7 separate regions of the Mus musculus genome follow, and regions 1, 2, 3, 5, 6 and 7 are each reported to be linked to region 4. Evidence: microRNA targets listed by miRTarBase, many of them from high-throughput screens and not tested one by one. Region 4 holds a microRNA gene; each other region holds the end of a gene's coding sequence.
Evidence for each region. The annotated mature microRNA mmu-miR-26a-5p reads UUCAAGUAAUCCAGGAUAGGCU and lies in region 4 at 2,888-2,909, opposite strand. An mRNA with a match to its seed (bases 2 to 7 or 8) in the 3' UTR can be bound and repressed. Matches are read on the target gene's strand: a 7mer-m8 pairs with bases 2 to 8, a 7mer-A1 pairs with bases 2 to 7 and ends in A, and an 8mer does both.

Region 1: the mRNA of Septin2 is a reported target of mmu-miR-26a-5p. Seed matches in the 3' UTR shown: 7mer-A1 at 2,126-2,132.
Region 2: miRTarBase lists Scamp3 as a target of mmu-miR-26a-5p. The part of its 3' UTR that is shown has no 7-base or 8-base seed match.
Region 3: miRTarBase lists Lonrf3 as a target of mmu-miR-26a-5p. Seed matches in the 3' UTR shown: 7mer-m8 at 1,616-1,622.
Region 5: the mRNA of Mllt11 is a reported target of mmu-miR-26a-5p. Seed matches in the 3' UTR shown: 7mer-m8 at 976-982.
Region 6: miRTarBase lists Megf9 as a target of mmu-miR-26a-5p. Seed matches in the 3' UTR shown: 7mer-A1 at 693-699.
Region 7: the mRNA of Akap9 is a reported target of mmu-miR-26a-5p. The part of its 3' UTR that is shown has no 7-base or 8-base seed match.

What each region holds. Positions count from the first base shown.
Region 1 is chr1:93,506,577-93,510,937 of GRCm38, reverse strand. It overlaps Septin2 (septin 2), which reads right to left. Exons shown (of 13, transcript NM_010891.2): 12 at 3,856-3,975; 13 at 1,205-3,225. The coding sequence ends at 3,874. Among named protein-coding and RNA genes, the nearest start is that of Farp2, 3.3 kb to the left of the region's middle.
Region 2 is chr3:89,181,924-89,186,284 of GRCm38, forward strand. Scamp3 (secretory carrier membrane protein 3) reads left to right here. Exons shown (of 9, transcript NM_011886.3): 8 at 3-120; 9 at 376-847. The coding sequence ends at 522. Gm45927 (predicted gene, 45927) reads left to right here. Exons shown (of 19, transcript NM_001310017.1): 18 at 3-120; 19 at 376-847. The coding sequence ends at 522. Fam189b (family with sequence similarity 189, member B) reads left to right here and starts at 1,220. Exons shown (of 12, transcript NM_001014995.2): 1 at 1,220-2,025; 2 at 2,229-2,285; 3 at 2,490-2,600; 4 at 2,707-2,826; 5 at 2,966-3,073; 6 at 3,511-3,686; 7 at 3,811-3,910. The coding sequence starts at 1,801. It overlaps Gm16069 (a long non-coding RNA gene), which reads right to left and starts at 2,504. Exons shown (of 3, transcript XR_003954659.1): 1 at 2,094-2,504; 2 at 1-1,054.
Region 3 is chrX:36,361,389-36,365,749 of GRCm38, forward strand. It overlaps Lonrf3 (LON peptidase N-terminal domain and ring finger 3), which reads left to right. Exons shown (of 11, transcript NM_028894.1): 11 at 376-4,361. The coding sequence ends at 531. It overlaps LOC115489189 (a small nuclear RNA gene), which reads left to right and starts at 2,511; the gene lies at 2,511-2,614.
Region 4 is chr9:119,030,359-119,034,719 of GRCm38, reverse strand. Mir26a-1 (microRNA 26a-1) reads right to left here and starts at 2,924; the gene lies at 2,835-2,924. It overlaps Ctdspl (CTD (carboxy-terminal domain, RNA polymerase II, polypeptide A) small phosphatase-like), which reads right to left. Exons shown (of 8, transcript NM_133710.3): 6 at 1,092-1,184.
Region 5 is chr3:95,216,384-95,220,744 of GRCm38, reverse strand. It overlaps Mllt11 (myeloid/lymphoid or mixed-lineage leukemia; translocated to, 11), which reads left to right. Exons shown (of 2, transcript NM_019914.4): 2 at 282-2,201. The coding sequence starts at 288. The coding sequence ends at 560. It overlaps Gabpb2 (GA repeat binding protein, beta 2), which reads left to right and starts at 2,803. Exons shown (of 10, transcript NM_029885.1): 1 at 2,803-3,156. Gm16740 (predicted gene, 16740) reads right to left here and starts at 3,288. Exons shown (of 4, transcript NR_108026.1): 1 at 2,687-3,288; 2 at 1,196-1,306.
Region 6 is chr4:70,429,217-70,433,577 of GRCm38, reverse strand. Megf9 (multiple EGF-like-domains 9) reads left to right here. Exons shown (of 6, transcript NM_172694.2): 6 at 47-1,651. The coding sequence ends at 498. Among named protein-coding and RNA genes, the nearest start is that of Cdk5rap2, 21 kb to the right of the region's middle.
Region 7 is chr5:4,078,809-4,083,169 of GRCm38, reverse strand. Akap9 (A kinase (PRKA) anchor protein (yotiao) 9) reads right to left here. Exons shown (of 48, transcript NM_194462.2): 48 at 2,966-3,511. The coding sequence ends at 3,474. It overlaps Cyp51 (cytochrome P450, family 51), which reads left to right. Exons shown (of 10, transcript NM_020010.2): 10 at 1-2,496. The coding sequence ends at 45. Among named protein-coding and RNA genes, the nearest start is that of Gm40260, 3.8 kb to the right of the region's middle.

The DNA of each region.
Region 1 (4,361 bases), not on the chromosome of region 4:
GAGGCCAGCCTGGTCTACAAAGTGAGTTCCAGGACAGCCAGGGCTATACAGAGAAACCCTGTCTTGAAAAACCAAAAAAAAAAAAAAAAAGAAAAGGAGCTGGACTGGACAAGGCAAGAATGAGGTTTGACATGAGCAACCTAGTGATTTAGAGAGCAGGAGCCTCATTTCCTAGTGTCAGTACGCTGCTTAGAGAGCAAGAGGATGAGAAAGACTCCGATAGTACTGGGTGGTCAATCCAGGGGTCATGCTGACAAACCGGAGTGAGGCCAGGCCGAAGAGATTGATCATCCACCCAGATTAGGATAAAGTTTGGGGTTATGTGGCTCTGCTCCCTTTATGAGTCCTGAGATCAAACTCAGGTTTGATCACGTTATGAGGCAAGTACTCTTAGCCACTAAGGCATCTCACCAGAGCAAATTCAGATTTTTAAAGTCACTTTCCTGGGCTGGGGAGATGATTTAGCTGTTAAGGGCTGCTCTTCCACAACACACAAATCCAGTTCCTGGCACCCACATGGCTGCTCACAACGGTCTCTAAGTCCAGTTCCAGGGGACCTGACACCCTCCTCTTCTAGCCTCCTTGGGTGACAGGCATACACATGGTACAAAGACATGCAGGCAGGCAAAATACTCATACACATACAATAAAAAGGTAGAAAAACGTAAAAATCTGAGCATGGTGGTATACATCTTTAATCTCAGCACTCCAGAGGCAAAGAGAGAGATAGTAGATTTCTTTGAGTTGGAGACCAACCTGATTTACATAAAGAGTTCCAGGTTAGCCAGGCTACAAAAGTGAGTCTGCCTCAAACACAAAAAAAACTCCAACCAATACATAAACAAACATTTTAAAAATTAAGACTGTTTTCCTAATTCATCTCTCTTCTTACAAATATGGAGAATTAGAAATATATTTGGATCACTTTTACTTCCCACTATGTTTAACAGTTGTTGCTTCATTTTCTAATTAGTAAATTTACCTATGAAGTCTTACTGTCCATTTTATCAAGTAGTCTGCAGACAATCTGATAACCTGTACAGCTATAGGATTTCTTTTGGAGTATCTGGGTTATCTCTGATGAAAATATACGCAGCACGCCTGCTATTAATACAAGTAACATCTTGCTCTGATATACAGTTGTAATAGGGGTCTTGAATCTTCACAATGGCCCGCATACTTTACTCAAAAAGAGGACTACTCATTTAATATCTAAACAATAGTGCTTTATTGAAAAAGGTTAATTTAAATGGATACAAAGTTGAAGTGTGAAATGTTTTCAAAATACATTTCTACAAGTACAAGTTACTTCTTAGTGAAAGAGCAAGTATCTGTTAGCAAAAGCAGTAAAACTGAAGGGGGTTAGAATTGTGGCTGCAAGACCTCACAATCCACACTGCCAATATTAGATGTCAGCTGACCCGAAGTAGCACCTTAACTCAAAAACATGGGACTCACACCGAATACTTGGGAATTCTTTCATTTTTTTGTTTTTAAATTTTTCTCCAACAAACTTAATGTCAAAATAAGCCAAACAAAGGACTGCATGGGTACTCTAAAGTCATTGACGCTTTTCTTGATAGGAACTTCACACAATGAACTTCCCTGATCACTCACAGTGATGCAATGTGAAGAGGCAAAGCGAGCAAATGTATTTTTCCTCATTAAATTTATAAACAACCATGCTTAAGCTTCATCTTATTAGTACTACTGAGTTTTGGACTGAATTAAACGTAAATCCCTGCCTCATCATCAATCAAGTCCTTCCTCCTGCAGCAAATGAAAGCACACAGTTAGCACCTGCTTTGCTTCTCCACACCACTGCCTCCTTCACCTGCCCCTTCCCTTCTAAGGTCACTGCCTGACATTAGAAGACAGGGTAGAAGAGGGAAGTGCCAGAATATAAACCAGGCAGGACTCTGCTTGCCTGCTTGGGGCACAGATCTGAAAAGCCTTTCGTTCATGGTGTGAAGACATTTATACTACACACACTGAAGAAAATGACAGTGCCTGGAAACAGATGAGACAGTCTGCACATAAAAAACCCAGCACTGCTATTTTCCTTTCAATAGAAGGATCACTGAAAAGGGGAAGAGTTAGACGAAAACCTGGCAGGCATCTGGGCTTCAAGTGGCCTTTTGTTCAAGAGCACCACCCAATCACAAGCCTGGGGTTGGATCCATGCCAGCCAAGGACTATGATTTCCACTGCTATGACCTTTTGCACCTAGTTATAGAAAGTACATTAAAGTGCAGTATAAAATATAAACATTTTGGTTTCTTTAAAAAAGTATTGCCTTTTTAGTTGAGTAAAAAGTTTACTGACTCTTCCTTATAAAGAGTCTTGTTACAATATGAAGCTGGAGCTCATAGCTGCTTTGGTTCTCTCCACAGCATAGCATAATCAGCATCCACAGTATAAAAAGTCCTTGTAGTGAGCTTTCTCTACAGAGGTTTGAAAATGATCTGGCACTAGAATCCAGAGCTCTTAAAATTCAACCCTGAAATCCTGCTTTTTAAAAGCTATTTAAGTATAAACATGTATCTCATTAGATAACTCTCTTCTGTTCTACCTGGTTAACAGATAATTGTGCAGATGAATAAGCCGAATGAACTACAGCAGCAAAATTGGTTTTAGGTGTTCTGTACAAATATAAAGTTAACAATGTGACTTCAATTCTAGTAAGCAAATAATTTGCCACCAAGTATGCACAACCACTTCTGTCACAGGTACATCAATGTCCACCACACAGGAACATTCTGAGCATAAAAATGTCTAGATAGAAATCAAAGAGTACTTGTCAGTGATTAGTCAGGCCAGCTATATCATAGAAATTCACTATTAAGAGTATACATGTTGACTGATTCTTAGAAATAAATTCTAACATTAGTGGTTCAGGAGGAATAAAATATCAGAGTTTTCCTTACAAAATTTAAAGTGTAACAATGAAATATAAATGTTAAAAGTACTTCATACCAAAGGAGTTGGGGGGTTGAGGGCAGAAAAAGAAGGAAAAGAAAAAAAGAGTAAAAACAAAAACCACCAAATGTTAAAAAAGAAAAAAAAAAAAAAAAAAAAACCCCAACCAAACAAAAAACAAAAAACAACCAACTGAAATCCTCAGACACAGGTGCTTCATTGTGGATGGGTGCCCTTCCTTCCACAGGGCTAAGAACCTTGATGCTGTAGCACTTATCAGGAAGTCTTTCTTATCCAAAGTGTTTCCTGGAAAGTAAAAACAAAACAATTTAAATGGAAGTGATGCATTTGTTTCTTACAGCACTGGCAATCCTCCCTCTGCAGAACAAAGGGCATAAACTGAACTAAATCAAGATGCCTTTATGAGGTTTGTGGAAACTGACAGATACTGTAAAACAGTGCTCAGAATTACATCAGATCACAAATCTGAGTGACACGCCAATTTTCAATGGTCACAGCACGGTTGCCTGAGAGGCCTAGAGGTCTACACCTAGGTGGCCCTTATCTAATGGCACTGGTTCCTCTTTCTGGCACCTTTACTATTTTTTTTCATCTGCAGAAGACTTTAATAAATTAAGAAAGTTCTTTTTAAAGATGTTTCCAATATTAAAGAGTTTCCAACACTATTACTAATAAAAATTTTAATTTTTCTTTAACATATTTAATTTTTTCTTTACCATAAACTATATTGTAACATTAGAAAATAAGAATATCTTTACTAGACAGTAGGTGGCAGCAGAGACTAGTTTCTGCTTTTCAATGAAAGGTTACTAACACAGCTAACAGCAGCGGACTTGAGAGAGAGGAGCCCATAGTCATAGGGGAGTCACAGTCATGGCTGAGCTGGCAGTGAGCCCGCCCTCCCTCCCCACTTACCAATATGAAAGCTCGGCCTCACACATGCTGCCCGAGAGCCCCGCTGTCACTGTCACCACCCTGCATCTGCATCTGCATCTGCGCTTGCATTCTTGCAATCATCTCTTGCATGCGGCGGAGCTATGAACAGTACATGTCAGATACAACGTTGGTGTTGTCATGCATTAGTTTCCATTGCTTTTCTCAAACACATGTTCAAATAAACCTTATAAACCAATATAAAAGAATCAACTATAAAAAAACCCATGTAAATGACAAAATTTATGATTCAAATGAGACAGAAGTTATCAATAAACAGAATCACTAAAGACTAGTAAGACAATGAGGCAAAAAGAAAGCCTGCTATTACCCTTTGGAGAACACAAAGGATGAATCATCTTTTCTGCTCAGCAACAAGGTCTTAGCTATGAAAACAAAACTTTTCCCTTATTAATTTTTTATTATTTTTGAGACATATTATCACTAGCTCAGGCTAGATTTAAACTCCCTCTGTAGCCAAGGATAAC
Region 2 (4,361 bases), not on the chromosome of region 4:
AGCGGCTGGGTGACTGCTCTGGTGGTGGTGGGATCCAAACCTGCCGTGGCGGTGCTCATGCTGCTCGTCGCCCTGCTCTTCACCGGCATCGCAGTGCTGGGAATCGTGATGCTGAAGCGGGTGAGGGCCGGTCGGGAGAAGGTGGGGCTGGGGAGTGAGATCATTGGGTCCCTAGGGGCTGCTGAGTGGAACATTAAGGAAATGGGGCAGGGCGGGTGGGTTATCAACTAATGGACTTTCTTGGGTGGGTGAGTTTGTGTGTTTGGAGGGAGTGCCAACGCAGAAGGAACGGTACAAAGCAGGAGACTAGTGAGTGGTGCCATCCTCCTGGGATGGGAGGGGCCTGCCTCCCTTATAATCTCTTCCCTCTTGCAGATCCACTCCCTGTACCGCCAAACGGGTGCCAGCTTTCAGAAGGCCCAGCAAGAATTTGCTGCTGGTGTCTTCTCCAACCCTGCGGTTCGAACTGCTGCTGCCAATGCAGCTGCCGGAGCTGCTGAAAATGCCTTCAGGGCCCCTTGACCCCTGCTGCACCCGCTGGGATGCCCTGGGCCTGTCACCTGTGGGAACCAAGATAGTCCCTATCCCTGAAGTCTCTGGGATTCAGGGAGCCATCACCACTTGGTGACTTCTATGGGGCTCTTCATTCCACAGCCATGACTTTAATCCTGACTTGAGGTGTGGAGAGCCCGCTGTGACTCAGTCATTATTTGCCTTTTATCTCCCATCTGGCCACACTGCTGCCGCCACCTCTCACACAACCCCAACCCCAGTTTCCTTCTGCTGTGCCAAGGATGTCTTCTTCCGTTATTTAAATTAAAGAAAAAAAAGTGTAACTGGAACTCACCCATTTCCTGTATCTTTACTGGAGATTGGGCCATTGTATGGAGTGGGGAACTGGGGTGGAAACACTCTGCAAGGAGAGGGTTGCACTTGGCAAAGTGGGCAGGCTGATAGGCGGGAGATGGGGGAGCCCCAGCTCGGTTTACCATGCCTCTGTTAATGATGAATGAGCAGTCAGTCCCTTTTGGTGTGAACACCTCATCCCGGGAACCTGTGGGGCAGAAAATGGACCCAGAAATGATCCTTAACTGCTCAGGCTTCAGGGCGAGGCTAGGGATGGAGGAGGGCCTCTCCCTATCTCCTCCCTTCCCCAGGGTTGCTTTCAGACTACAGCTCCCGGGATGCATTGCACCACCCACCACACCCCTCCTCCGCACCACGCACCATCCACCATCCCCCACCTCCACAGGCTGACCTGCTGCAGCTGGAGGAGCTAAGGAAGCCGAGCATGGTGGGGAGGGGAGCGGGTCTGCGACTCTGGAGACAGTTTCCACGGCCTCTCCCCACCAGGCGGCCCTGAATGGCCAAACGCACCTCTAGTTCCTGCATGCAGACCTTCCCCCTCTCTGTAGACTTGTTTGCATCCCTCTCGCTTTTGCCCTCCCCACCCTTGCCTGGGTTCCGGAACGCTACTCTTCAGTCTGGGATCAGCCCTTCTCGGCACCCCTCTTCATTAAGGAAATGCAATGAACCGGTGCCCTCGCGTCCTCATCGCCTCCCCGGGCACGGTACCCGTTTGGTGGTGGGGAGGGAGCCCCTCACTGTCCCTTCGTGACGCCCCTCCTTTGGGCCTCCTTCCAGCTGGCGTCCCTGGGCGATGCCCCAGAGGACCTAGCCAGGAGGTGGGCTTTACAGCGAGGGCTGTGGAAAGGATAAAGAACCAGGGCTTGGGTGCTTCTGAGATGCTCACAAGTATCAAGGGGGACCGAGCGAGGTGCGAGCAACTGGGCGGCAGGCATGATGCCCTCGCCCAGTGACTCCAGTCGCTCGCTGACCAGCCGGCCCAGTACCCGGGGCCTTACCCACCTCCGCCTCCACCGACCCTGGCTCCAGGCCCTGCTCACGTTGGGGCTGGCCCAGGTGCTCTTGGGCATCCTGGTGATAACCTTCAGCATGGTGGCCTCCTCTGTCACCACCACCGAGAGCATCAAGAGGTCCTGCCCATCTTGGGCTGGGTTCTCGGTGAGTGGGGTCCAAAGAGTATATAGTACTGGGGTGGGGGAAGCTTCTTAGGCCCCATCCCTCCTCACCTGCAAGCCCACATGGTTGTCTTTCCTTCTTCTCCCAGTCCTCTCCCTCCTTGCAGGGCTGGGTGCATCCTGTGGCAAGGGGCTCACTTAGGTGCTTCCCCTGCCAAGCTGAGCCTGTGCCCACTCTGTCCCTAGCTGGCGTTCTCCGGGTTGGTTGGCATTGTGTCCTGGAAGCGGCCATTCACTCTAGTGGTAGGTGCCAAGGCCCGATGCCCACTAGGAAGCAGGTGCCCAGCAGCGAAGGGGATTTACCCCCCCCCCCCCCGTTATGCCTCCCAGGAGCTTTCCAGTTGGTATAAGGCTAGCAGAAGCTGTCTGAGAAGAGGGTGGCTCATTCTGTGGAAGAGGGATGCTGCTGAAGGTCCCAGCCCTGAGATGCCACCTTCTTTCCCTCAGATCTCTTTCTTCTCCTTGCTTTCGGTGCTCTGTGTCATGCTTAGCATGGCTGGCTCTGTTCTCTCCTGTAAGAATGCTCAGCTGGCTCGGGACTTCCGAGAGTGCTCCATGGTGAGATTTGAGGAGGGAAACCTGGAAGGAAGGGGTTAGGAGAGATGGGAGGAAGCCGTGAGTTTGCTCTGACCCGGGCTGCCTTGCCCTTTGCACTCCCACACAGGAAGGGAAGGTCTGTGTATGCTGCCCACCTATCCCCCTACACAGACCTTGCCCAGAATGGGGCCAGGAGCTGAAAGTTGCCCTCAACTCCACCTGTGATGAAGCCAGAGGGGCCCTCAAGGTGAAGAAGCCCTCCCCAGCCCTTCCCCCTACACTCTTATTTTGGGTCTCCTTTGCTCCCCTCCTGGAGTTTTCAAAGGCTCAAGTGTGTAAGGTTTTTCTGTCCCGGGCCCCTTACTCTTCTCCTTTATCTTCTCCAGAACCTGCTCTTCAGTGTCTGTGGCCTTACCATTTGTGCTGCAATAATCTGTACCCTCTCTGCTATTGTCTGCTGTGTCCAGATCTTCTCCCTGGATCTGGTGCATATGGTAAGAAGGGAGCCAAGGCCCAAGCAGACAGGGGTGGTGGGAGCTGGGTTTGTGTGTATGTGTGTGTGTGTGTGCTGGGCCTGGGCCTGCCAGGCATAGCTACAGGTGACCTGAGGATATTTATTTCGGGGATGTTGAGTGCTGAAGGGAGAGTGAGGAAGACTGGATGGGGTGGAATCTGGAAGGTCCTAGGATGAGGAGGGGATAAAGGATGGGTAGTTGTATGGTGACAGGGAACAGGTGACAATTATGGATAGATGTGAAGCTAGAAAAGGAGAGATATATGGGTGGACAAAGCCAGAGCTGGAGGTTCAGCGTGAGGCAGGATGAAGAAGCTGGGTGTGGCTGAGGAAGGGTGGAACTGGATCTTCTTGGTGGAAGTAGGGCCATAAAAATAGCAGAAAGGGAAGAAATTTGAAACCAGGCTTGCTCTCTAGCAGCTTGCCCCTGAACGGTCAGTCTCAGGCCCCCTAGGGCCCCTGGCGTGTACATCCTCGCCTCCAGCTCCTCTCCTACACACCATGCTGGACTTGGAGGAATTTGTCCCGCCTGTGCCCCCACCACCCTACTACCCTCCAGAGTACACCTGCAGTTCAGAGACAGATGCACAAAGGTAAGGCTGGAGGTGGGGGTGGGGGAGCAAGGGGCTGCTGGGGGGAGGGACTGGATTGCTGGGAGGCATAGCTGTGGAGTAGGAGTTAGTTTCCAGACCCTGATCCTCTCCCTCATCCTGCCAGCATCACGTATAATGGCTCCATGGATAGCCCAGTGCCCTTGTATCCTACTGACTGCCCCCCTTCTTACGAGGCCGTCATGGGGCTGCGAAGAGACAGCCAGGTGAGGAAAGAGCTTGGTGTAGCTGGGAGCAGTGCATGGAGCCAAGACGGCTGCTTGCAAGGATACCAGCCTGCTGGCATCTTTGATCTGCCCTAGAGCTGCTGAGGTGGGTGGGAGATGAACTAGTATTTCTCTTTTTTGTTGTTGTTGTTGTTTTTTGAGACAGGGTTTCTTTGTGTAGCCCTGGCTGTCCTGGAACTCACTCTGTAGACCAGGCTGGCCTCGAACTCAGAAATCCGCCTGCCTGCGGGGATTAAAGGTGTGCGCCACCATACCCGGCTAATATTTCTCTTTTAAAGATGTGTAGTTGGGGGCTGGCGAGATGGCTCAGTGGGTAAGAGCACTGACTGCTCTTCCAAAGGTCCTGAGTTCAAATCCCAGCAACCACATGGTGGCTCACCTGTAATGAGATCTGACACCCTCTTCTGGTGTGCCTGAAGACAGCTACAGT
Region 3 (4,361 bases), not on the chromosome of region 4:
GCAGGCAAAACACCATACACATAAAATAATTAAAAACATTTAAAAGAAATTTTAAAAAATTGGAAGAAAGAGGAGGGAAGAGACTACATGTTCTTTTCCCATAAAATGATGGGAACTTAGATGTATCACCTCTCTTTGTTTTTAGCCAAAATTTGACCTTATGGCCTCACCTAGCTGCAAAGATGCCTGAGAAGTAACAGTTTTCCTCATCCCCTGCCACCATGTATGCTTAGCTGAAATAAAAGAGGAAAACAATGCCTCTCAGCAATGTGTGCCACACACAGAAGCAGTTCCATGTGTGATACTTTACTGTATGCATGTGGACTTCTATACATGGACTACATGGGATCCATGAACTGTGTTTCTCTGTTGCAGGTTAATCCGAATGGTCCAGCCTGGTGCTGGTGGACACTGGCGGTTCTTCCTCTGGAAAGCAGAGCTCAGCTTCCCTTCCTAGCAATGAGGTCCTTAAAGGACAGATTGAATGGTATTCGGCGTATCCTGGCCTTTATATCGAGAAACCAAAATTAAAGGGACTGGATTGTGGAAGAGGAATTTCTACCCTCTCCACTGCCCCGAGGCAATGTTCTTGTAAACATATCTAATTGCAATAACACCTTAACAGAAGAGAGTACCCTAGATAGATGTTGTTATTCTTTTTGACCACACAGAAATGAGGTAGAAAGACCAAAAGGATGTGACCTGTTTGACTTACTGTCTTCAAATGCTTCTTGAAACACTATACTAACACACAAATAGCAGAAGTGTGAAGAAGTCAAAAAGAGTTGATGTTTAGCATCAATTTTTCTGAAGTTAAAAAAGTGAGTTGTTGTTCATAGCTAAATGAGTGTGTGGTTGAAATGTCAAGCAGAGATACTAATGTTACTGCATTCTTTCACTGACTTGAGGTCTCATTTCAAATGGTTCAGGTTTTATAAAGCATTGTAAAAAATAATGTTCATACTTCTTTCTGTTTTAATAATTTATTTTTTGCACTACTGCGTCGTTTTTCTACATATATGTTTGTAACTATTTAAGTGTACATTACTGAAAAGTCCATTGCTTTATTTATTGATGTGGCTTACTCTGTAGGGAGGATAACAGTACTAACCATGTGCAATGTTCTTTCTTTACTCAGTTTTTGTTGAATTAATCCCAGTTCTTGTTGGGCTTTTATATATACATAGTTCAGGTCTATTCTAGTGGACTAAGTTTAAAAGAACTTCAGAAGAATTCTAAAGTAATTCATCTTCACAGATTCCACATTTTCAGTTTAATTTAAGGACTAGAAAAATGCTTAATTGATTTGGCATAAATTGTGGGATATACCAAAGTAAAGTAAAAGAATCCATTTTCCATGTGTAATACAGAATAAGGTTGAAAGACATATTCAAGATCAGAGAGATGAATTACAGGTGTCTTTTTATTACAGTCTACTACTATAGGTATTTATTTCAGGCAATCTAATTAGAAAAGTATTAATTTCTCCCCAGTGCAGTTAGGGAAGAGATTAATATTTACCTGTATTTTCAGAGGGGATGGCTTTCAATTTGGCGTGCCTCTCCCCTATCTTCTGAGTTCTGAAGTTTAAAACCTGTACCAATGTGTGCTGGAATACTTGAGAGACTGTTCTTAAAGTGTGAAGAAACTGGATAGGTTAGAACCCCTTTTAAATTACTATAAAAGATCCAGAGAATGAATCCATGGTTTTATGTAAACACTGCCTTCCCTCCTGGTAAAGATGGGCCAAAGATTTCAATGCAGGGGGAGAAAAGACAGTGAAGAGATGGGAGTAAGTTTCTGAGCTTAGTGCTAGTCTGAGTCCTTCGGTGTCAGAGAAACCTGAAAAATGGAGTGTGGGAGTGTTATAGTGGCAGAGGAGAAAATGAGAGTTAGGAAAAGTGAATTGTCAGATTTTGTTTCTCATGCAAACTACTCCCAGGTGATTTTGGACAACTATGGTGTGTTATTCACGTGTAGGCTCTCCATTCTGTTAACAAGAGAGGGGGTTCGAAGAAGGAGAGAGATTGCTTCAAGGATCAGTCTAGGTTCTTCTATAACCACCAGAAACATGGAAGAGGTGGGGCTTGTGTGTGTGAGAGAGATGGTCTCTAAATGCTATAAAAGAGACTCATGGAAGCAGAAAGCAACTTATCACTGACAACTTGCTTGATGGAGGCGGTGTTGTCAGAGCATTGCCAGGTCTGTTTGGAATAATCTGGGCTGGTGAAGAATGATGCAAGTGTAGGGAATGTAAATAAAGAAGTAGATACTATCCAAGTTAAGTCTAGAGGGCTCGGAAAGCAGGACATTAAGAGGATTTTTCCCTGGCACCTGATACCCAGCCAGCCATGTGATTATAGTGAAGTCCTAGTATGACTGCTTCCTATTCTATAGTGCAAACACAACAAAGAAGAGCAGAAGCTTCTCCACTTACGACATATGTTACTTTGGCAAGTAATTTAGCTTCCGTTGAGTCCCAGTTTTCTTATATATATGAAATGGTACTTGTGCTCACATCAGCAGTACATATACTAAAATTAGAATGAAACAGAGATTAGCATGGCCCCTTCACAAGGATTGTAGGCAAATTTGGATAGTGTTCTATATATTTTACTAAAAGATGAAATTGTAGTGATATTAATAGTATATAGGCTTGCTAGGAACATTAAACGGGACATGTAAGAAATTACTTAACAGTACCTTGATGTTGGGAGCTATTTGGTGAACTATAACTATTATCAGCCATGTTGCAGAATATCATCAGTGGTCTACAGTTGCATGAAGCATTGCTTTTACTTGTAATTCTCATTTGTACCCTACTGTAAATCCAAACCACTGATTCTTGGACCACAACTTGATAGTTTGCAAGTGACTCCTATTGGAGTTAAGGCCAGCAAAGTAGAGCTGGGGATACATCTCAGTTGCTGACATGGCATGGGGCGCTGATTCTCTCTCCAGTTCTGTAAAAAATAAAATAAATGTAGGGAAAATTAAAATACTGGAGAGAAAATGAGGGTTAGTTGTAGGGACTAATTTCTATGCCAAGAAAACTGTTCCCATTTTAATTAGGGCTAAAAAATAGTGTCGTATTGGGGGACATCTAGAGTTCTTGATAAAATGGGAGCCTTAAGTTCTGGTTCCATAAGAATAACCAAAACCATCTCTCCCTCTTTTTCATATATTGAGAATCTCAACTAGAACAATTAGATTTCAGAACAATTAGATTTCACCATCTATGGAGTTTGCACACAGCCAATAGTATTTCTTTCTGCTGCCCCAAATAACAGGCTCTACAATGATGTACTGAAAACCTACCATGTACCAGGTACTAAACTGAGTGAGTGATCTCGATCTCCCTTACCTGAACACATGAAATAACCTTTTAAACAGCATCATTAGATATATAGATAAGAAAACATAGGTAAGAAAACAGAATGGACAATTTTAAAGAATATGCCTATGTAACATGTTCAGTGAGTGGCCAAGCTTGATTCTGTACCAACAATGTGACAGATGTTTGAACATTTTGTGTTATGTATGTTTCACTCAGTAGGCATGGCAAAACCCCTAAGAGCTCAAAATGAGGAGTTCCAGGTGAAGTCAAATGAAGCCGTCCAACACATCTCTTACTAATCCAGGGGGAAAGTGGATTTTTGGCTTCTTGATACAATTCCTTTGATAAGAGAATACCCAAGAACAGATGGAGATCTTTGCTAGGCTAAATAGCACTTTCCTCTGAGCCTGGATCTAGATTGGGTTGTTCTCCAGCAATTATAGTAACGGCAGGATACTAGGCTTTGACTTTCTTTGGGATGTACATAAGTGGGCTAATCCATCGAACTTGACCACTTTTAACACCTGTGGATAGGTTCTGTTTCTAAGCTCAGACATGAGACGTACAGAGATAAAAACTATATCTGAGTTGGAAGGATAAGAGTCCTCCTTGTAGACAGTGCCACTTTATTGGGTTAGTCTTTCTTTCTATCTTGAATTCATGACTGACCCAGACCTTGTAGATTATTCTCTCTCTCTCTCTTGTCTGTGTGTGTGTGTGTGTGTGTGTGTGTTCATGTGTGCACACACACAAAGAGACCCTAGGTAGCAAGCAGACTTTATGCCTTTCTGCTTTGTACCGTACTATTGCTGCTAGCTAAAAACCAGCAAAATGTAGAAAGTGAAAACTGAAGAAACTACTTTGCAGTGGATAATTTTAAGAAAAAAAAAAGATGCTTGCTCCTCATTTAGGGGAGCAGAGAACTATTCCAATAGCATGCCTTTTCTGAAGGCCACGTGCTTCGAGTTCCGTGCTGCCTCAGTAGCGGGATTGAGTTGTGATGGCGCACGTGGCACTGCCACCT
Region 4 (4,361 bases):
TGGCTCTTGCCTTGGTCAGCATAGAGTATAGACCCAGCCAGGAATGCCCCAGCCAGCAGAGTGGGGCTGAAGACCTGGGGTCGAAGATCCAACAGGCAGATGAGGATGGGTGCTATCCCAGGCAGGCCGTGGGGGAGGGAGCTGCTAGTGGCTCCCGGAATTCTGCACACCACAGATCTCATCTCTGGGGCCACTCAGAGTTTTCCAGGTACCCATGAAGACCCAGGTGCCTCTGCTAAGTGGATTGACTGACTCTGCGAGAGTCACGGTCGGCACAGAAAGGATTTGGGAGAGCGAGCTAGGGTCTACTCCGCCTGCTTTCAACTCACCTGTGAAGCCTGTCTGGATGCTATTGGTGCTTATGATGGTAAATACTGAACATCAGGAGTGTTTACCCTGCGACAGTGTCCATGGCAGTGCCCAGAGAACAGTGAGGGCTCAATGAACGTCTGCTTGATGGGAATCTGGGGCTGTGCTGAGCCGTTCACATGGGCCATTTCATTTAATGAACTCTAACAGGCAGATGGAATTATCCCCAATTAGACAAGAAGAAACCAATGTGCCAGAGGTAAAGGAATTTACCAGAAACCATTCAGCTCCCAAGGCTATCAGAACTCCCAACATTCTGTGCCTGCCAGTGACACTTGACACCTGCCTCTTAACTTGTTCCTCCCTGAAACCTGTGGCCATCAAACACGGGGACACAGGGACTCTAAAATCTGGCTGCTCTTCAATGCGTGAGGGAGACTCCCCCACACCTGCATCCATCCACAGTCACAATGGACGGGTCTTGTGGTTTTGTCTGTGGATAACTGGTTTCAGGTGGCTGCATAAAGCAACTTCATGGAGCATTTGTTCCAAATGCTCCCAGTCACCATGGTAACCAGAAACCTCTCAGCCTAGCAGTGTGCACATGGCCTGCATCTATCGCATCTGGGGTGGGAACCTGTCACCGTAAAAATAGCTTCCTCCACCTTAACAAAGGGCTCTTGGCAGCTTGGGGGGTGTGGTGGAGGGTGGAGAGGTTGGGATGACGGCTGGGAACAGGACGCAGGATGCAGGACACAGGATGCAGGACGAAAAGGACGCACCTTGGCCAAGCTGGCAGTAAAGAGCACACACTCAAAGAGCTGCCCCATCCTCTGGAGGAACTCGTCCACGTGAGGTCGCTTCAGCACATACACCTGCGGTGGGAGGAGACAAGAGCTGTCAGTCATAGCATCCAGGGACAGCGTGGGCCTTGGAAGAACTGCCAAGGGGCCCTTCTCCTGTTGCCAGGCCTATGTACGATTTACTGAAGCTTGCACTAGGTTCTGCGTCTCAACCCTTGTAGAGAGAAAGGAAAGCCGACCACGTCGTCAAGGTTCTTGAGTATCTTCGGAGCCAGTAAGCAGAGCACAGCTGTGCCATGTCCAGTCGCAGTTGCTCATGCATCCACTTGGCACTTGCTGAGTCAGCCCCTATGTGGCCACAGGCCACAGCCTAGGTGCTGTCCTTCTGGAAGTCTAGGACTAGCTGCGGCCTCCAACTCTGAACATCCCTGCCCCCTGGGGTTAATGCACTTGAAAACTTTCTAGTGGACACCATGGAGGTCACCCTGCTTGTGTAGGGGTACAGAAAGCACTTCACATGGGTAAGGGGCTGCTTCCCACAGTTGGGCTCTGTGTATCCTTCTGATCAGACCAGACAGGCCTGCGAAGCAGCTGGTTTCACCTAACACCCAGGCTGCAGTCTCTGGAGGCTAAAGGAATGTGTAGGAACTGGAAGAGAGAAAGCAAAGCCAGGGAGAGGCAGTGGGCAGAGGGAGGGACCAATTAAAACTTGAGTAAATTCCACTAGAAGTTAGCTACATCTTTAAAATAAAACATAATTACCAGGTCTCAGCGCTGTGCTCAGTTCAGCTACAAGGCTGAATTGGAGCCCCCAATCCTCTGGAGACTCGTGTGGTGGGCCTTGCCGGCTCAGCTCACTCAGTCTTGAGCACACACTGACAGAAATTAGTGAACACAAGAAATCTCACAGTGGGGTATTCATTCAAGATAATTCTCCCTTCCAGAGGGCGTCTCAGAAAGCAACATCTGGCCTTGACCTTGAATAAAGAGGAGCTCACACGCTGAGAGAGAGAGAGAGCTGAGCCTCCAACCCGAGCAAAGTGTGAACGTGAGGATCGGAAGCGTCACAACACTTGGGTTTGTGTTGGGCCAAAGCCTGTGTCCACAGCCAACCATAGGCAGTGAGAGAAGCCCTGGAGGCTGCTCAGGGAGGAAGCAGTTAAGGTAAAGAGCTAAAGGTAGCAGTAAGCCACAGGGCCTCTAAGGGCAGACAGAGCAGGGGAGGGGGCTGCGGAAAGGGAGAGGAGACACAAGACTGCACCCCATGCAAGGAAAACACACTGCAGGACAGACTTCCTAGATGGAAACACTGCTTTGCAGCATGCCAGGAAAAGGCGCTTCCTAGGGCAAAGACCTGGAGAGAAAGCGGCTGGCTAGCTTTAGGAGTGGGTTGGGGGTCTGGCTCTGCAGCTGAGGGTGGAGAGAGGGGCCAGAGGAATATAGGTGGTCTATCCTGGGTGCCACCAGGATCCTGCTGAGCTGGGGTGTTGGGCTAGGCTGAGGGCAGAGCTGTGTGGCTGTAGCAGCTGCAGGACCTGCTTTGCTCATAACACTCGTTGTTGCTGGTGCCAGTGACTGGGTGTGGCCTCCGGTCCTGAGTCTCCGGGAGGACTGCTTGGCCAGCAAGCTTGGCTACAGGCAAAGGGTTGGAGATGGACGGGGGAAACTCTGTTGTTGCCGCCTTTAGCAGAAAGGAGGTTCCTGGGCCCAGATGCCGGCGTCCAGGCCCGCGTCCCCGTGCAAGTAACCAAGAATAGGCCCCTTGGGACCTGCACAGCCTATCCTGGATTACTTGAACGAGGCCACGGCCTTCGCCAGGGCCTCGGTCCTCCAGCTTTTGTACCTTCCTTCTCTCTGGAGTTTCTGCTCCCAGCCCTGATGCCCGGGGTGTCTACTGCCAAAGAGAAGGGGCAAGGGAAGCCGGGGTGGGTCCTGCACTCCGGACGTGCTTGTGGCCACGTGGTGTGAAGAATTATTTTCTTGGGCAGTCCTCCTGAGCCTCACCTCAAGGACTCTTCGACTTTAGACACAACAACCAGCGCAGAGGTCCTAACTGCATGGCGGGGGTGGAGTTAATTCAGTTGGTGCTTTGTGAATGGTAAGTGACCAGGTGCCTGAAACCTTCCCAGGTCCTATGTCCTGTAGGACAGGATAGAGAGCTAGGTGGGGGTAAGGGAGACAGGGGGAACCAAGTCTAAGGAAAGAGCCCTGGCTTAGGAGTCAGGAAATCTTATCCTGATGATTGTCATATATAACCTTCTGTCTGGGCAACGGAATGGCTAAAACAGCTGATTTCACAGCCCTGGATTGTTCTAAACTGCACTCAAGAGTTAAGGAGCCTTATTGGCATCGTTAAGAAATGACATCCTGTGTGGCCCAGGAACCAGGAAATGTCTGTCCCTTCCTGGGATATGAGGCCAGATACTCTCCCCTTAAGGCCTTGAGTTTGATGGGGGAGACAGTCTGTCCCATCACTCCTAAGAAACATGTGGCAAAACTATATCTACCTTAACCTCCAAGGCGAGCTTTTCTACCATGTTTCTAATGTATTCATAGACGAAGTCATTTCCAGAAGAGCTTGCTGATGACGAAGAAAAAATAAAGAAGAAGCAACTCCCCCAAACAAACAAACAAACAAACAACCCCAAAACAGAAAACCCCAAAAACCGGAAGAAGATTGATGCCAGCTGACGATGACAATTTATGCACAGCACCCTGCTGGTCTTAACACACCCTTCCCCTTTGCTCTGGGTTGAGTATTTGCTAAAAAAGACACTGGAGAAAACCACATGGGCAGAGAAGCTCTCACGGGAGCAGTTGGCATCAAAGTGGACATTTTTCCCAAGAATGCTCCGTCAGTGGGTGACTGGTGGCATTTTCCTGTTGCTAGGAGAAGCCAAAAGCAAATGCATGATGAAGTTGACCAGATGTCAAACCCGGCCAGCGGTGGGGACAACTAGGGGATTGCACAAAGGCTCCTAAAAGTTGAAATCAAATCAGAGATCATACCTAATATTTATTAACAGAAAAGGGTCCTCATAAACACGGTAAAAAGCAAATGCATGCATGAGGCAGAGAATCATTCACAGTATTTTTATTTAGCTTTTGAGACAGGGTTTCTCTGTGTAGCCCTGGCTGTACAAGGACTCGCTTTGTGGACCAGGCTGTCCTCAGACTCAAGAGATCTGCCTGCCTCTGCCTCCATGCCTGGCTTACTATACTTATTATACAAAGTTTGTTTCCTGAAGT
Region 5 (4,361 bases), not on the chromosome of region 4:
GCATGATTCAGTTCCTGCCTAGTGTGCATAAGGCCTGAGGTATATTACTAGAGCTAAAATTAGAGCCAAGAAGAACCTTGTGCAGTAGGCAGTCTGGTCAGCCAGAGGTGGGGAGAAGGTAGGAGCCTGGTGGTAAATAGCAAAAGAGTTCTTGATATTCGTCTTAGAAAACCTGACTGATTCACTAGAGCACACAGAAAAGAACAACTTAAGCAAGGGAAAGCACGGGGCAAGGAGCTTGCTCTATCGTGGAGACTAACACGTGATTTGCTCTTCCTCAGGGGATCATGAGGGACCCTGTAAGTAGCCAGTACAGCTCCTTTCTTTTCTGGAGGATGCCCATCCCAGAACTGGATCTGTCGGAGCTGGAAGGCCTGGGCCTGTCAGATACACCTACCTACGAGAGCAAGGATAGCAGCAGCGTTGGCAAAATGAACGGGCAGGCATCTGGGACGGAGCAGAAGAACCCTGAAGGTGACCCCCTCCTTGAGTACAGCACCTTCAACTTCTGGAGAGCGCCTATTGCCAGCATCCACTCTGTCGACCTGGACTTGCTTTAAGGCCAAGATCTCTCTCCCACCCCGTACCTTCATTATCTTCCCTCTTAAGTCCCTTCCTCTCTAAGCCTTCCACTTTAATCTTGTTCTCTTCCCTCTATTGTGCTGGTGGTGCTGATGAATCTGCCAATTGAATTGTAGGTTTGTATGTATGTACGTACTTATTTATCTATCTATATTTATTTATTTATTTATTTATCTGCCTACTCCGTTTCTCTCAAAAGCCCTCTAGGCACAAAGTCAAGGGTTTAATCAATGGAGTACTAGATCATAGGATTTCCTCCCGTCAGCCCGGAGAATATTAACTAATCCCAGAAAAGAATCACCCTTATTTGAGGCACCACAGAGAGGTACAGTTGTGCAAAATGGGAGACCAATTATTTTGTTTGTTTGTTACATTTTAATCAACTTCAAAGATTACTTGAGCCTCCCTAATGTCCTCTACCAGGCCAGTAAGCAAATACTGCTTCAAGAAGTAATGAGAACCTGGAAGTTTTGAGACACTTTCTACAAAACAGGATTTCTAAAAGGCTAAGATAAGAAATGCTGCTGCTGCTTACAATGCATTCTCTTCCCCAGAAACACGCAGGCAGTTAAAGGTGGGAAACAAAGGAGTGGGATGAGGAAAAACATCGCACCGTTTCAGAGGTAGCTCCTTTAATATCCAGCTCTGCTTCCAGCTGTGGGTAGAAATGCTCAGAAAATCAGATTTGAGTCTTCACAGGGAAACTTCACTATGAGGATAATTCCTAAAAGACAAAAGATGTATCTGATCTAAAGAAACACCAGAGTATTATTAGGGGAATTTATATAAAATTGTGATTTTGTCATGGAACAGGCAGATGTTTTGGTCCTAAGTATTTTAGCTTTGCCTTTCTGTAGTTGCAGTATGTGATAGGAATCAGTGATTCCTGACACAGTTCTTTGGCCGCCATAAGACCGTGAAGTAAGCAGTTATGTTCAGACCCTACCCGTCCCCATTCCTTCCAAAGCTATTGCAGATGAATTGCGGAGCTGTTTATTCATTTATGGAATAAAGACGTTAAATCCTAAGTCTGGGGCTTAGTTTTTTCCATTCCAATGAAGTACTACAGATTTTACTCACACTTCCGAATCCAGCTTTCCCTTTTATCTTTTTTTCTTTCTTTTTTTTTTTAAGTGAAGCTTTTCTTTTTATTTTAAAAAGATTTACTATACTATATATGAGTACACTGTTGCACTCTTCAGACACACCAGAAGAGGGCATTGGGTCCCATTACAAGTGAGCCAACATGTGGTTGGTGGGGATTGAACTCAGGACCTCTGGAAGAGCAGTCAGTGCTCTTAACCACTGAGTCATCTCTCCAGCGCTTCCTTCTGTCTGTCTAATATTTGACTTTGAAGAACAATTTAGGATTTGGACATAGCTCAATGGTAGAAGGGCTTGCCAAGCATCTACAAGGCCCTGCTAGGGTTCCCCTGTAAGCAGCCAGTGCTCAGAGATTAGCCACGCCCCCCAGCCCATTATTAACTTTTAAATTTGTGTGGTTTTCTTCGGAGGCGGGCCTTGAACTCAGAGAAATCCACCTGACTCTGCTGGACTCTGCTAGGGTGGGCCTAGCACTTTGGTATTAAATTAGGAGACCTGTGCCTCCTGCTGTGATCAAAGGCGTGTTTGTTATTATTACTGATTTTAATTTTTAGTGTGCATTGGTGTTTTGCCTAAATGTATGCTTGCTTGTGTGAGGGTGTCAGATCTTGGAGTTAAAGGCAGTTGTAAGCTGCAATGTGGGTGCTGGGAATTGAACTGGGGTCTCCTAAGGCATTGCTCCAGCGTCCTGTTATTGATTTTTGAAAGGTTTTCTCCGAGCTTTCTCTCGGTCCTTATATCAGTTAAAATGGTGAACAGAAACCAAGATAGACTGGTAAATGAAAGACATGCAATTTCATGTCCCATCCTATTCTAGTCTTCCCCCCAAAAGTTCAGGGGTTCTTTCCTGACCTATATTCAGGACACTGGGAAAGTGTCCGGTCAGACAGGAGTGCATAACCAGAAGGTCCCGAATAGCGGAAGCAAGATTCTCCCCCAACCCTCAAGTTAGCCCGGCGTTGAACCAGCAGGAAGGTAGAGTGCGGACGCCAACACGCACCAGTAACCAGTTCCTCCGAGCGCTGCACTGGTTGGCGCCAAAACTACCATCTGCGTCCGTCCCCTGCCGGAACTATCCCTCACGTAAGCCACGTAATCGGTGATCCTGCGCCTCGCTAAGTAGTCCCGCTCAGGATGCCCGCGGTATACGTTTTTCCAGCTCACGAGGTCCTCAGTAGGAAGGAGTCGGACTCAGAGGTGCGTTGAGGTCCTGAGAGAAGGGCAAAGTGGCTCCGCTAACCCATTTCCTTCAGATTCCTCCGCCAGGACGTATAGTCACAGCGCCTTCACTTCCGGGTCCGCCATTTTATTGCCTCCATTTCTCCGTGAGGGGGGGTAAGGGCCCCCCCAAATATGCATATGTGAAAAGGCCGAAAAGTGAGGCCGCTGGCAAGGAGTCTTAACTAGAGAAAGAAACGGGACCAAACTGGCGGGCCCAGTGAGAGCGAAGCCGGCAGCGCTCCGGAATAGGTGAGGGGGAAAGGACACGCAGGGTTCCGGAGCTTCCGAACTGCGATGCAAGGGGCAGTGATAAGTGGCCGGCCCAGCCCGGCCAGGACCTGTGGGCGCCGGCCTGCACACTGCCGGAGCGGGGGTGGCGGCGGGGGGGAGAGGGACCAAGAGGAAGGGGATGCTGTCGGGAGGAAGGGGAGGGGACTGGGAGGTGAAGGGGGTGGGTGGAAGACCTGGGGCTGGGGAGCTGGACTCCGGGAAGCCAAGGCCACATGGGGTGACCACGAGGGGGCGGTGTGGCGCAGGAGTCCGGGCTGCCACTACAGACTGGGGCTCCCACTTGCAAGTTGGCGCCCCTGAGTTTGGCAGAGTGCTGATGTCAAAAACTGAGGGATATGTGACTAGGGAGGAAGTGGGAACTGGACTTTTCAAGGTCCAGTAATAACGTGAAACTTTAGTAAGTTCATAATGTGAACAAGAGCAGTCATGGACTTATATCCAGTTCTCAACACAGATGCTTGTACAGCTGGCCTCCCAGTGGGAATGTGTGGGGGGTGAGGGGGGGGAGAAAAAGAAAAAAAAGTACAGACCGAGAATTCTTCAATTGCTTTCTTTCTTAGCGTGCACCTCTTGTCACAGATTTCCTCCAGGAATTCTGCTGTCTCCCTCTTCCTATAAAGGATTTTCTCTAGTTTCCAATCCAATATTTGGGTCTTACTATGTAGTTTGGATTGGCTGCCTCACAGCGATTCTCTAACCTTAGCCCCTGGAGTGTTGGAATTACTGAGGTGAGCCATGTTTTTTGTACATGCTTTGCAAAGAACAAACCACCACACCCAAATGATAAACAAAAGTTATTATTCTTTGGTAATGGGCTGCTTTGTCAAGTGCTCAGGCACTCCATGGTTATTAAAATATTTATTGAAAGTTCTGAACACTAAGTACTCAGTGCTTGAGAAGAGGAGAGAGAAAGATCCAGGTGTTCAAGGCCAGCCTGTGCTACTTGACCCAGAAAGGTCTCCTGGTCTTGTTTTGTATTTTATTGGCTTCCTATTCCTAGGAGGCAGGGTTGGGAGTATAGCTCAGAGGCAAGTGTGAATGTAGCATGCCTGTGGCCCTGGATTCAACTCCTAGCACAGAGGGACTAGGAAGAGAATTTAGAAAAATCTTAGGATACACACTAGACAAACGCTCATGTGAAGTTTATGTGGATGCATATCCAG
Region 6 (4,361 bases), not on the chromosome of region 4:
TAGATAATTTTGTCTTTTACATTTCATTCTCTGTTTTTATTTTCAGAAGTTATTGTTCCAACTCCTGAAGGTTCTACCATTTTGGTTTCCAATGCCTCTTTGACCACATCAGTGCCCACCCCTGTTATAAATAGTACTTTTGCCCCCACAACCCTGCAGACTATCTTTGCAGTAAGCTCTTCTGAAAACAGCACCTCAGCTCTTGCTGATGTATCATGGACCCAGTTTAACATCATCATTTTGACAGTCATCATCATTGTGGTAGTGCTGCTAATGGGATTTGTAGGAGCTGTGTACATGTACCGAGAGTACCAAAATCGGAAACTCAATGCTCCCTTTTGGACCATCGAGCTGAAAGAAGACAATATCAGTTTCAGCAGCTACCATGACAGCATCCCCAATGCAGATGTGTCGGGATTGTTAGAGGACGATGCCAATGAAGTGGCTCCCAATGGGCAGCTGACCCTGACAACACCTATTCATAACTACAAAGCCTGAGAAGCTGAGTTGTCCTCCTGGATTGTCAGAAAACAGTGCTCACTTAAACAGCACCTGACCTCTGGCTGCACAGAGCCTAGGTAGAGTTTGTTGAGAAAGGTATTGTGCAAATGTTCAGGTACAAACTGTAGTGCGCTTAGCCTGTCTGTTGCTCTTAATTCCCCCATGAAGATCTGAAGCACTCATCATCGAGGACTTGAAGTAAAGTATATTTTTGTAGCAAACCACATGTATATATGGAAAGGCTGAATCCCACAGAGCAGCCTAAGTCTACCTGGCCTCTCAAAGGACTGCTCGGAAAGTGTTCACCTCACCAGATGTGATAGAATGTTGATGTGGAGGGGAAAGACTGATGGAAGAATTCATCTCCACTTTGGAAACATATTTTATAAAAGAGAGGCAGGGATTGTGTTCATTTTACTGTACTAAGAGATGTAACTTAGGAAGAGATGATATCTAGGCTAATAAAAAAAATCTTGGTTGTGTGTAGACTAAGAAAGGTGCCAAGAAGTTCTGTAGAAGGGCTTGGCTTTCCTTCTAAGAGTCTCCTTCAAAAATGGAGTTAAAGCACAGGATAAGCTTCCATGGTGAGGGTAGGCACAGCAGGCAGAGAGCAGAAAGCTGATGGTCTCCTCAAAGAGGTTCCTGCCTCTAAAGAAACAAGGTGTACATAATTAATGTAGCATTATCTGGTCAACATTGTACTTGTATCTATTTGTAAAAAATCATGTCCTATTTTATCATCTAGACTTTATCTGTATAGCAGTTAATGGTGTTGTAAAAAGAAGATATGGGAACTTGGTTAAAATACTGTAAAATAGGTGACAATATTGCTAGAGCTGGGACTCTGGTGAGCATCAGTCATTTTAGTCCCTATTTGGACACTGTTGAAATTGATAAGAGGTCAAATGTTTCTAATCTTTCCTCTCTCAACCTAGAGTCATATGCTCTTTGACTTACCATAGATTCAAGCAATAGATTTTGAAGTCTGCAATTGCGAAACTGGAACACAGGCTGCATTCTCCAGACACACCTAATTAGCCACTCTGTTTTACACTGCTCAGTGTAAACTCCTCAGGAAAAGACTTCTTTCCTGAATGTAAAAGACAGTCTTCCAAAGGACAGAAAATTTAAATTAAAAAGAAAAGCCATCACATCACTTCGGGGTTCTTGTTTTTATGCCCATAAAATATTTATGTGCCTCCCATATCTGCCAAAATAAAGGCCTCTGACATTTGAGCATAACCTGTCACCCATGCACCATGAGGACTGTTTGGCTTCTTCAGTGCTGGAGTTCATCCATCTTCATATCTGGGCAGAGGGTCACTATGGGTGTGTATTTAGTCCTTGCTTTTTGATGCCATTTTCCCTGAGGCCAAGTACTGCTGCTTTCATTTGTTATGCATCCATAGGTTGTAGATTGAGAGCCAAGAAAAGTGACTCAGACTATGAAGTAGGGGAAAACAAAACAGAGTAGACCTAGGAAGCTCAGACTCCTTTTCTTACTTCCTCAGAAAAATAAAGACGTTGGTCATCCTTTGTAGGAGACCTCACCTTTTTCTCAGGGTTTAGAAATGACTGTATACTAGAGGATCCATAGGTAACCTGGGTGTGCTCTGCATTTTTGGCTGTCTTTATAAAGGTAGACATTACATCTCATTGTACTAAAACAATTTACAAGTGACTGATTGCCTAGCATATGAGTCTATGAGTTTAATCCTTAGAATTACAAAATATATTAATAATATTTTGCCCTTTGTCATTTAAAAAACACCTTTCCATGTGTTCTTTGATCCTCACCCTAGCCTCCTTAGGAAGTAGTCTTGTGCTCATTTCATAGATGAAGTAACTGAGGCACAGAGAGTCTAAGTTGTTCAGCGCTATACCATGCACATCATCATTATTATTCCTGGAATCAGTTCTCACCTCTACTTCATTGTCATTTTGCTATGTGATACATATAAATCTACTAGCCATGGGCCCTAGAAGACTGGAATGGAAATTCCCATTTGTGGATGCTTCTAATAGAGCCCTTGTATGCTCTCTAGAATACTACCCCCCCCCCCACCCCGCCATACCATGTGTATATATTGGGGTAGGGGAAGTATGTAACTCACAGGCACAATTCAGGGCCACATAGATACTAAGGACTTTGTTGAAAGAACACACATGGATTTCTACCTAAAGACAAGATTAATGACGAGAAGGTAAAGCTGCCAGTTCATTAAAATGAATGAATTCCTGAATTGGGGAGGGGAGCAGAGAGACTTTTCCTAGCAGTTGCAGCACAGGTGTGTATTGACTATACATCACAGAGTTCCAAAGTGCTGAGCACAATGGCTGCCTCCCAGATACCCCATCTCCTGCCAAAATAAGTGGAAAGGAGATAAAAGCCAAACGTTTGTTAAACAGTTCACACAATAAATAAATGTTTATATGAGTTTAAGAGCCAAAGTAAACAGTCGAGATTCCAGCTAAATAGAGATTCCATGATACAGATCTTAAGAGATAACACAGAAACTAAACCACAAATTTATCAAGTACCTGTTAATTGCTCCTAAATCATGTTTTTCACAATGAAAAAAGCTATAGCCTTAAAATGTGTTGTAAATAACATCATTTAGTGACCCCGTTGCTCTGCTTATACAAATTATTTTGTTGTAAAGATCAACCATGAGGTGATCTCTCCTTGAAAGTAGAGTAGGAAACCAGAATAAAACATGCTGCTGGGTTTTCATTCCTCTGGAGACATTATCACCCAATGCCACGAGTCCTCTGCAAAGCCCGATGCTGGAACAATTTTTGTCTAAGCATAAAGAAAATGTTGTTTTTAAAATATACTACATACATGACCTTAATGAGAAATGGATGTCAGTGCTAGGAAGGAACTAATGCTTGCGCCTTCAATAGCTCCCCTGATTAAGTCCTGTGCATTTCTGAAGGTGGATGTTGTACTTGTCAACCATGCCTTTGTTCCCTTACCACCACCATCCCCTACATTGCCTCCAAGGACTCTCCTATTTACAGTCTCTCCAGAGAAAGCAAAATGATAATTAAAATCTCTTATTTATATGAACATGGTGTGGACCCAGTACATTATTTTTCCCAGGGATACTTAGATTTTAAGGGAGAGCAACAGGACAGACATGGGCTGGGAGGGTAGGTTTTTATTGTTGTTTTGATTTGGTTTTTAGTTGTTATTGTTTCATTTTTTTCTTTTAACAAGACTATCTAAATCCCAAATTATATTACTTTTCCCTAGTCCCAATATTTCCAGAATCATTAGTCATCAAAGCAATACTCACTGGTCTACCAGTTAATTTGAGTTATCTGATCATCAAGATGTTGTGGTTTAGAATAAGAGTCAGTTAGAGCTTTATTATTCACCATTCACCCTGGTCCTCTGCTTTTTTTATGTTTATAAACATAAAAGTAATTCTGATGATTCTCTCTGACTTGGTGTAGTTTGAAGTGGTGTGTGGGTAGGAGGTGGGTTTCTGCATCTTTCAAGGAAAGCTCTCTGACAAAATATTCATATTCAGAATAAGTTAAAAGAATTCAGTGAAATCATTAGGACAACAGAAGTTGTGACCTAATCCATACACAAATAAATAAATGAATAAATAAATAAATACCTTTAGTCTGTTGGTACTTTTGACAGCAAATGGTTTAGGACTTAAGAGGTTTGGTGTCTGTCTGTGTTGTAGAGCTGGGGAAGGTGACAGACGGTTAATTTGTCTTTTGCTATCACTCTGAGCAAATGGCTAAGCAGCAGGAACATGGTGATTAACCTGAAGAAGTCAAATAATATTGAATGGCTAAAGATTGTGGATCATTAAAACATTAGTGGTTTGAATGATACT
Region 7 (4,361 bases), not on the chromosome of region 4:
ACCCCAGAAAACCCAGTAATCCGTTACAAACGACGATCAAAATGAGAAGAGGAACAAGAAGCCAGTGTGGAGAGAGGACCGCAAGCCGCAGCTGGCAAAGAATGAAGCCTCTGAGAAGCTCTCGTGCTGTACTGGGTTGAAGAGTGTGGTTCTGAGAGCCAGTTTATGATTTTAATGTTTTATTAACTCGGTGATTTTTGTCAGACCGAATGGCATTTGAAACAGTTTATAGTAGTTTTGATAGGATTTCAGGGAAGCCAAGTTTATGTTAGAAATCATTTGGGGGGGTGTGTCTTGGAATTAAGAAGATATAGAATGCAGCATCCAGGTAATTAACTCCACACATTGCCACAGGGAGATTTGGAACTGGTGTTTGAAGTTTCAAAGCCTTGTCAAATGCTACAAAGGTAATGGGGTCGTGTAGTTGGGCCACTTCTGTGCGTAAAGATATGAAAGGATAAAGGTTAAGTTTACTGCGAAGCTTGAGGTGGAAGTAAACGCTACTTAGATGGTGTGGTGTGTCCTTTGAAATGTTAACTGGAGCACCGCTCCTGGAAGATGGCAGCGATCTTGAACCTTGCCTTGATAACCTTAATTCCTAAAAGTAATAAAATCTAAAGAGTGCTTATGTATGTTACTGGTCCCAAATGGTCACAGTTTTGTGAAAAATCCAAAATCAAATCCTTGTAAGACTTTTTTATTTTAATTTGGCTTAAGGTTTTTTGTTGTTGTTGGGAAGTTTAAATTTACCAGGCTTTTAAAAGTGTCTGATTTTGAGATTAGTGAGTTCTGGCCTTGAGACTGGGGAATGGGAGATGGTATCATTGCCCGTATTCTGTGCTCAGGAGACAACCTAACAGATTGTAACCACGGACCCAACTCTGTGACATGCCCTTAATCTGTGTTAGGAGTAAGAATAGCTCTGTTGCTGGAGTGGTGCTGCACACCTGTAATGCTGTTATTCAGGACCTGCGGCAGGATTGAGAATTTGAGGCCAACCTAGGCTACGGAGCAAGACTAACACACTCCCCAAAATAAAACCTCTTTTCTCTAAAAGTATGTGTACTGGCTGGTCTTAGGCACTTGACACAAGCTAGGGTCATCAGAGAGAAAAGGAAGCCTCAGTTGAGGAAATGCCTCCATGAGATCCAGCTGTAAGGCATTTTCTTAATAAGTGATCAATGGGAGAGGCTCCAGCCCACTGTGGTGGTTCCATCCCTACGCTAGTGATCCTATGAAAGGCTGACCGTGACATGAGGAGCAAAACAGTAAGCAGCACTCATTTATGGCCTCTGCATCAGCTCCTGCCTCCAGGTTCCTGACCTGCTTGAGTTCCTGTCCTCACTTGATGATAAACAGTGATATGGAAGTGTAAGCCAAATAACCCACCTTCACCCTCGGGATTTGCTTTTTGGTCATGGTGTTTCCTTGTAGCAAGAGGAACTGAAACTCCGTTACAGTTTTAAGAGGCTTTTGAAGACTCCCAGTGAAGGCCTAAATCTCTGCTGTTAAAGGCTCCACATTAAAATTCTCTGAGAAAGTTTTACTGGTTTGTATTCATGAATTTGAACTTGTGCTTCAGTAAGTACAGTTCATGAAATCTGGGCATATGGAAGCTTACATCCTATTTGCCTGAAATAGGTTCCTTTTAGTATTATCTTTGGTTATTTAGGTAAGTCACTCTTGTTATCAATGCCCCATGAGAAATCAGGTATTTTCATAACAAGTTACAAAAGTTGCTCACCTCTCAAAAGTGTGCTTGTCTCTTACTGAGTGGTTGTTAGACTTTTAGGTCATAGATGTTACATTTGACGTGTTAGGTTAAAACCTTGATTAAAGTTTGAAGACTGTTTGTTTCTAAGTAACAGATTTTCTTTGCCAGTGTAGATGTTTTGTGTTTATTATTCCTAGAGGGGTTCTAGACTTTGATCAAGTCCCTCCTTTTACTGTGTGGTTGTTAAGACTTTTAAGTCATAGACGTGTTAGGTTAAAACCTTGATTAAAGTTTGATGATTGTTTCTAAGTAACAGATTTTCTTTGCCAATGTAGATGTTTTGTCTTTATTATTCCTAGAGGGGTTCTAGACTTTGATCAGATTGGTAGATTCCTGGCAGAGTTGTGACTTGAGTAAGGCTGTCCTGTTTACTGTCTAGTTTTAGACTTTGACATATTTTCAGTGCTGAGATTTAAAAGGGCTCAAGCACTAGAATTCCAGATTGAGATACTGACCACAGACGAGCTATTAAGTTATTGTGAACAACACAGCAGAGGCTGAGGGCCATAGGGTGTTAGTAGGGTAGACTAGCAGTAGGGTAGATTGGCTGGCAAGCACCTGTCCATCTGCCTTTTCCCGACTGAACTGTCTTGACTTGGCAACTGTATTAGTTTTTTAAAGAGTTTAATGCACAACTTTCCTGCTCAACTAGTTGCTTTAGAATAGTTTTGATATTTTTAGAAAGCCTAGTTGAAATTTGGGAAATAAAATTAGAAATTCCCAGCAATGCACAGCTTTGTGATTGTCTTCATGTAGTGCAGAGACCATTAATAGTGAAACACTCTTTTCCAGATGTAAACCAATACCACAGCTATTTTAGTCAGTGCAGTGCTAGTAGGGAGCCCTCTGGAGAACAGTATTCTCTCTGAGACTTTTCCAATTAGAATTTGGCTGGCTTAGCAGGACGCTTCCTGATTTTTGCTACACTCTTATGGATACAATTTAATATTGAGAGCTGATTTCTGCGTCTAGATTTGTAAGTCTCTTTGGACATAAGAACACGAAATGTAATAAAACATGGACTAATCATAAACACCAGTGCCACCTTAGTGTTGAAAACAGGCACATTAAGAATGTTCTTTAATGAAGGCAGAGCAAAACCACACTTTGGATCCTGAGCTGAGACAAGTAACAAGATGATAGGGACCACGAGTTGTGGCTTAGTGAAAAATCAAGAAGGTTCAACTACAGTAAGGTGAAAATGGTGAGGTCTTTTTATTTCAGTACTTGACAAAATACCCATAAAGTTCAAAACTTTGACCATTATACAAAAATAGGTCTCTACAAGTGATATGTTGTCTTCATCACCAGTAGCAAATATATTAAGCAGAAACATGTAACTTCAGTAGCTTTGTAAGAAAAGCGCAGGGCACCGCAAGGTACTCGTCCAGCAGCACTGTCATTTGAAAAAGTTTAATCTTTTCACCCACCTGATAAATACACAAAGTTTATAATTTAATCACTTAAATTAGCATTCCACAAATATACATGTAATTTAATGATTACTGTGCATGAACACACACACATTGCTTATATACACAAACTCCAGTTTGTCTTCATGTGCTGCTGCTAAGGATTTGTATACAATCATAAGCTGTGCATGTATTGGTCCCATCGAATATTCACAATACAAAAGCACAAAAGAGCCATTGATTTACAAAAGGGAATCTATTTAATATTCAATTAATGTTTCAACGGATTATCTCCTCATGCCAAAGTGAAATTGAGTAGTGGACCCTGTAAAATAGAAAACAAAGCAATTAGACTTTGCCTATATAATGGCATCCAGCTGACATGGGCAGATGGATCTGTTTAACACCATCTCAAAATGTTGGGGGCCCGTGACATTTTTCAGTGGTCAAGGTGCTGCCAAGCCCAACAATCTCTGAGTTTGATTCCTGGAACCCACATAGTGGAAGGAAAACCAATATGCAAATTTTCTCATTGCTACAGCATGGTTGTGCACACACATACACAAATGAAACCTGAAGGTAAATGAAACCTGAAGGTAAAACTTATTTTTTAAGTAATAATGTATGGTGTGTGTGTGTGTGTGTGTACGTACACATGTTTGTGTGAGTGCAGCACAGAATGCCCTAATTCACTGGATCCTGTAGAGATGGAGGTACAGGCAGTTATGAGCTGCCTGAGACGCAGTGTTGGGAACCACAAGTAGGTCTCTAGACAACAGTTTGTTGTTTCTCACCCAAAGCCATCTTCAGCCCTCAGCTTAACTATAGCTCCAAGAGGCTGACTATATTTAGAGGTTACCTTGACTGCCCTATAGCAAGGGAAGCGAGAGAGAATGCTGATGTATTTCATGAGCACTCTTAAGGTTGCTTGAATGAAAAGCTAAACTACCTCTAAACAACTGCAGTCGGCAGTATGTGGTATTAAAAAGAGTCCTTAAAAATGACCAGGGACTGACGAGATGGTTAGGTTAGAAGCACTCTAGAGGATCTGGGGCCCAGCAACCACATGGTAGCTCACAATCATCTATAGGACTCCAGTCCTTTTCTGGCCTTTGTAGGCATCAGCCATGCATGTGGTACACAGACACACATGGACAGAAAACATCATACATACA